2 linked regions of the Kluyveromyces lactis genome follow. The protein of the gene in region 1 interacts with the protein of each later gene in a biochemical or structural test. Links are inferred from orthologs where the notes say so. Each region holds a gene or a part of one and is shown on either strand. Other genes may lie near its edges.

What was found.
Region 2: the proteins of POL1 (region 1) and PRI1 are reported together in a solved structure, tested with the Saccharomyces cerevisiae proteins (2 studies listed by BioGRID, with this or other methods). The link is inferred for Kluyveromyces lactis from reciprocal best matches to the Saccharomyces cerevisiae genes POL1 and PRI1.

What each region holds. Positions count from the first base shown.
Region 1 is NC_006039.1:1,129,345-1,133,282, forward strand, and holds the start of POL1 (DNA-directed DNA polymerase alpha catalytic subunit POL1), read left to right. Parts: upstream 1-984; coding exon 985-3,938. Other genes in the region: SNAP receptor VAM3, read right to left, coding at 1-464. UniProt on the Saccharomyces cerevisiae protein: Catalytic component of DNA polymerase alpha, which in complex with DNA primase (DNA polymerase alpha:primase) constitutes a replicative polymerase. POL1 has a role in promoting telomere replication during interaction with CDC13.
Region 2 is NC_006038.1:1,024,722-1,027,580, forward strand, and holds PRI1 (DNA primase subunit PRI1), read right to left. Parts: upstream 1,834-2,859; coding exon 523-1,833; downstream 1-522. Other genes in the region: PRE1 (proteasome core particle subunit beta 4), read right to left, coding at 1-131; EGH1 (hydrolase), read right to left, coding at 2,165-2,859. UniProt on the Saccharomyces cerevisiae protein: DNA primase is the polymerase that synthesizes small RNA primers for the Okazaki fragments made during discontinuous DNA replication. In a complex with DNA polymerase alpha (DNA polymerase alpha:primase) constitutes a replicative polymerase.

The sequences.
Region 1 (3,938 bases):
TGTTGGGTAGACAAAAGTAACGGAGTATCCTCTGAAGAATGATCCCTCCTCTCGATATCGTCTTGTATTGGCATGCTTTCATATTGCGATACGAGATGTTCCGATTCATTATCTTTACTCTCTTCGTCAGGTATGGGATTCTGTACTGCCCTATTCTCATAATCGGTCTTTACACTGTTATATTGTTTGCTTAACGCTTGAAAATCTCGAGCAAATTTATCTTGTGTATCTAGCGAAGTTAAGTCAGCCAGTTTTCGACTAATTTTCTGGATTTCGGGGATTACTCTATTTTTTATATCAACCCTCAATAGTTGTCCGTCCTTGCTTGTCCCTATTAGATGAGCTTTACGCTTGAGTAATTGAATATTCTGTTCTAGTGTTATCAACAAAGGCACCGCATCGTTTCCACTAGAATCTGCACGATTGTCCTCCTTTTTTGGAGTACTATTTTGATAAAAGGACATCAGATGTAACGCGATTATCTTTACGGGTCCTGCTATCAGCTGTTTCCTTAACAGTTATCCTTCCCTTCAGTTAATGATCACAAACCTCAATTTGAGCACTTTAAAATTGAGGACAGTCTTAAACCACAGGTCATGTGATCCATTTTTCTTTCCAAGCCAACGCCAATTGGTTCAACTAATGGAAATTCGTATCATAATATTGAGGAGCGCACACTCTCTAACACTTCAGCGGCTTCACCGTTTAACCACTCAAGTGTTGTCGGTATTCTACTGTCACTCAATCTTTCGCTCGCTTTTCTTCTCATGCACTCTCGCTTTGTCTCAGCGTTGGTGCCATTAAGTTCATAGATTTCGAACGCGTGCTTTGCAGATAGATACAACTTTAAAAAAAAAAAGAACGCGTAAAAGTAAGAACATCTTCATCATCTTCTTCTTGCAACTCAAACCAGGAAAGACAACAAAACTAAATTACTAGGGTAGTTCGTACTGCCACCCTACACTATTAAAACACTAGCTCGGGATGAGTAATGCGAACAAACTTGAACTGCTCAAAAAATTGCAGAAAGCTAGGAATAATAAATCGAATAGGGATGTGCTAGATGAACAACTGGAAGAAGAAAATGTGTATGACTTGATTGACGAGGATCAATATAGGAGTAAGAAAAGACAAGAGTTGTTAAGAGATGATTTTGTTGAAGATGATGATGGCAGTGGATATGTGGATCGTGGTGTAGATGAATGGGATCAAAGTCAGGAGTTCTACTCTGATGAAGACGATGGTGTTGATGCAAAGTCAGGCAAAAAGCGTAATAAGACCAGTAAGAATAACAAAGGTAAGGATACCATCAGCGATATCATAAAGCAACAAAATGTCAAGAGAAAAATGACAATGCCAACAGAAAAACCTAAGAAAGTGTCACTTGCTGAATTTGATGATATTTTGAGTGAATTTGACGCAGAGCCTCTGGTTAAGAAGCCGAAGCTAACGATATCCAGAAAACAACCTGCAAATACTACGCCTATGAACTATAAACACCCTCAGGTAGATACATCCCCACTTAAAGGTAAAGATGTTGTACCTTTTAAAGCTGATAGCGTTAATCCTATCGATTGTGATTCAATGGAAGAGGACCACGATATTGAATCATTATTAAACGATGTGGCTAGTTCTCCTTCAATGAGCAAGCAGAAGACATATCAAAGCGAAGATGACAGTGAAGATGACGAAGATGATATTCACTTTGGTAGAAAAAAATTCAAATCAATAGCTACTCAAAGGCAGATGAATATCAGCGCTCAAACAGCACCATTAACGTCTTCGCCAACATATGTCACTGCTCCTAACACCCCATTGTCAACTTCTACAGGGTCCACACAAGCAACAGAATCAATTTCCGGATCACTGAGACAAAGAATACCTAAAGAGGATGTAGTAGACGCTGAGACCGGTAGTTTTAACTTTTTTTGGACTGATTTTACCGAAGTCAACTCTTCTTTGATTCTCTTTGGTAAAGTTAAAACGAGAAAGAATCAAGTAGTCTCTGCAATGGCGCAAATCAATGGTTTCAATAGAGAGCTGTATTTTCTACCTAAGGAGGGTAAAACAGCGTCTGATGTCCACCAAGAAATTGTACCTCTATTATTGGATAAATATGGCTTACAATCACTTCGCGCTAAGCCTGAAACGAAAAAGTATGCCTTTGAACTTCCAGGAATACCACACGAAGCGGAGTATTTGAAGGTTTTGTTACCTTATGATACTCCTAAATGCAAGTCAATTACTATTCCCGCTGAACTTGAGGGAGATACATTCAGTCACGTCTTCGGTGGTAACCAAAACCTTTTTGAGAGTTTTGTTGTCCAAAGGAAAATCATGGGCCCTTGCTGGCTTAAGATATCAGATGGCGATTTTGATGCAGTTCAAGGCGCTTCGCATTGTGCTATTGAGGTTCAAATTGATTCACCTAATCATATCTCAGCAACGAATGAAAAATCATCTCCGAGCTTGAACTGTATATCATTGTCTATTCAGACCGTCATGAATGCAAAAGAAAACAAGCAGGAAATTGTTGCTATAAGTATGGCTGTCTTCAAAAATTTATCTCAAGATTCATCAATTCCACAAAATCTCAAACCAAATGAAATAGTGACACTAGTAAGGCCTCCACAAGGATCAACTTTTCCACCTCTTCTGGGACCTAAATCAAAGAAAGAATTATCCGGAAATGTGCGTCTCTTCAATAACGAAAAGACGTTATTAAACTGTTTCTGTGCTCTCTTGAAGGTAAATGATCCTGATGTTATAATAGGACATAGATTGGAAGGTGTCATCTTGGATGTTCTGGCACACAGAGCTTATGAGTTAAATATTCCTCAATTTAGTGTCTTTGGGAGAAGACTGCGGAAAGCATGGCCAGACAAGTTTGGAAAACATAATAATAGTATGACACAGTTCATAGTTAGGGATTTATTTGCAGGTAGGTTGTTATGTGACATTTCCAATGAAATGGGTCAGTCACTAACTCCAAAATGTCAAAATTGGGAACTAAACGAAATGTATCAAGTTTCCTGCGGTATTGAAAGAAAATCTCTCGAAATTAATTACCTAAACCCAATATATCAGGAAGATGAATCCCAGATGCTTCTAGCGCTAGGCGAAAACATCGAAAACTCCATTATAACAGCAGAAGTTGCATTCCGCATTCAAATTCTCTCTTTAACCAAACAACTGACTAATTTAGCAGGCAATGGATGGAGACAGACTTTGGGTGGTACAAGAGCTGGTAGAAATGAATATATTTTGCTTCATGAATTTAACAGAAATGATTACATTGTTCCTGATAAAGAAACAAGGCAAATGAAGCAAGACAGACAACAAAAGAATGAAGATCCTATGGAGCCACAAGTGTCCAGTAAAAAATCAAAATATCAGGGTGGGTTGGTCTTTGAACCAGAAAAAGGTTTGCATAAAAACTATATCTTGGTCATGGATTTCAATTCGTTGTACCCATCTATCATTCAAGAGTTTAATATTTGCTTCACTACTGTTGACAGGAATCCACAGGATAATGAAGAACTTCCAGATGTGCCTTCAAGAGAAAAATCACGAGGTGTACTGCCAAGATTATTGGCCAACCTGGTCCAAAGACGTAGAGAAGTGAAAAATCTAATGAAGACTGAAAATGACGCAAGTAAAAAAGCCCAATATGATATCAGGCAGCAAGCTTTGAAGCTTACGGCAAATTCTATGTATGGTTGTTTGGGTTATGTGAACAGTAGATTTTATGCTAAACCGTTAGCAATGTTAGTTACAAATAAGGGGAGAGAAATTCTCATGAACACAAGACAATTAGCGGAGAGTCTGGGTCTAACAGTTGTGTACGGTGATACCGATTCGGTCATGATCAGTACTGGCTGTGACAATTACATGGATGCAATCAAAATTGGTGAAAACTTTAAAAAGCTGGTGAATGA
Region 2 (2,859 bases), on another chromosome or scaffold:
ATTAGTGTGTGAGGGAGTAATTGTCTGGTCTTGTCATCTGAATCTTTCAAAATTGAAATACCCCTAGTTACAGCCTTTGAAGAGGCCAATATCACCGAATCCTTGACTCTTATACCTAATAGAACATCCATTGGGAGATTTAGTATAAACTTTGACTCTTTTCACTGTCGATAGACCCTATATTTCCCTGTTTCCTCCCTGATAAAGGTTTGCCACCGTAAGTGTATGTTCTTTTTGTCAATTGTATTTTAGTTAAACATTTTCAAACATCATTTAAAGGTTTTCCACTGTATGAAAGGTGACAATACACAGAGAGAGAAACAGACAAAGCGTTTTATTCGCAGGAATGAAGCCCAAGCTAGGCGCCAATTGTGGGGTGATAGTAACTAAGAATACACTTGTTGAATGTTTTTTATTTTACTGTTTTGTTTCAGGTAGTATCGATAAATAGGTATTGTTCTTATTTGTAAATATACATATGTATATATGTGCTTGATCATGCAAGACAGCTGAATTAGGCATTCAGAAGTCAATAGACGACTTGATATCTTCTTCACGGTCTCTCTTTTGTGAGGATAATTCTTGTTTGACCAACTTGTTGACATACTTTCCGAACATGTCTAGGTACGGTTGTAGTGAAGTGCGTTGCACTTGATTATCGTTAGTATCCATTTCGTTCTGTAATTTTATAAGTTTTGGTGCCATTTCTGGTGAGAACTCTTCTGTAATCGGTACACAAACGTTACCAGTGGATGGATGTATACAGAATGGAGCCTTGAGTAAATGGATGGTTTGTTTTGTGACTTCCACATCTAATTTAGGGTATAGCGTTTGGATGATGATATCTTCTTTACTCTCGCGTAGTCTCTGCAAATAATCGTGTTGTCTCTGTTTAGGAAAGCTACTTATTAGCTGAGACGCTATCACATCCATGTCCTTCCATTTTTCCTCACTTGATCTTCCAGGTTTGTTGGTCCATAGTTTCTTTAGCTGCTCAGATAGCTGTTTGTCGTGACAACTGGTAGCCAAAGATTTTATCGCTAGTTCATCATCTCTCCAAGTGTCTTGTTCCCTTAGAATGATTTCAACGAAATGAGGTTTCAAAATCTCCAGAGATCTTGATAGATGTGGATGCAGCGGTCTAACCAAATTCAATCTCTTCTCAATATTTCTATCCCTAACCACGTTCATATAATCCAACATGTTCTTCCTATGAGAATCCGTCATGACCCTGGCTCTCTTGTCACTAATCCAACAATGGGCACCACGTCTACCAGAGAAAACCCAAATGAACTCATCAAAACCGAAATCATTTTCCAAAGATGAATTGATTACTTTCATAGCTAATTTAATAAAGTGCCAACACTTGGGACACACTTGTGCCCCAGAACAACATGTTCTATAACTATCATAATCATCCATATCGATATCGAAAACTAATTCTTTCTCCATCGGTTTCATCTCAGTCTTAAGTAAAGAGTCGCGCTCCCTTGGCGGTTTATTGTACACTGCACCGATCTCAAATCTATCTGGATTAGCCTTCTGGATCTGTACTTTGAACTCCTGTACGCTGTTGAACGAATTATATCTTTTGTATGCACCAGATCTGAACGCCATCGCGAATTCTCTATTGATGATATCACGGCCTGGTTTAGGTGAATGGTTCAGCCATTGAAATATCTGCTTAAAAGGATACAGATGTTGATAGTAGTATTGCATATCTGATGAACTAGGTCCATAATTTGAAGGAGGAGTGTCACCTCCATATGGGGTAGTCGATGACGATGGTACAGTGGAAGAGCCAGGCTCAACGGCGTCAACTAAGGATGGCATGTCAAAGTTAGCGGTTAATATGAGTTGAAATTGCACTAGCAGAGACCGTCACAAACCCTTGGCGTTTGTCCTGTTGATTGTCTCGACAGTGTCAGTTCGAGCACTCATCGAATTTGATCTGATTCTTGTTTCAAAACGCGTCAATTTGAATTTTGATAAAAACTGCGATTTAGATAATGTGACGCCAAGGAAGTCACATGACGCCAAATGACAAAGATATGCACTGGCCCGCACGAAGAGCTAGTGGGAATGATGAGTATCTGGAACAAACTTATTATGTGTCTATTTATATGTGTGTGTATATATGGTACGGGAGCAAAGCTTAATCCTTTTATGAGATAACACAGCTGTCCTCATTTGCTGTCACATTGATTAAAGAAATGTTCAAAAACTGATGGCCAGGTTCGTGAATCCACTGTAGTATCTGTCTCTCAGGATCGTAAGTGAAATGGCCAGAGGAGGATTTCATTATAATGTTGTCAAGTTTGAAATGATATGCCGGCAGAAATATCAAAGATCTGTTACTGGAAGACGCGTGACCATGAATTTCCAAATCGTAAGTGCTGTTGAAGGGATCAAATTTTGCTGAAATGAAGGATCCACTAATCTTAATTGGAGATGGTCTCAAAACAGAATCTAATGCCCTGAACCCACTATAGTCTATTAGTGCAATGCCGTTATTTGCCGTTTTGAAAGTATTGGCTGATTTAGTTGATCTTGTTGATCCTGAAAGTGAAGAGAAAATTTCTGATTCCTGTAAGGATACCGTTTCACTACCAAGATGCGGAACTTCTACAGTCACTTTTTCCCTTTTAGCATCATCGGAACTCCAAAGTGAGAAATCTTCGTTATTCCATTGATCGCCCCATTGATGAGAGTTTTTCGAGCAATAACACCAAAGAGAAAATGATAGGTTGTTATTCTCCAAAGCGAATCCAATAGCATCCATAGCACTTGTCTGTGACGTATATTGTCCGGTCTTATATGCTTCTTTGTTGTCCATATCAAATGGCATACCAATTTCAC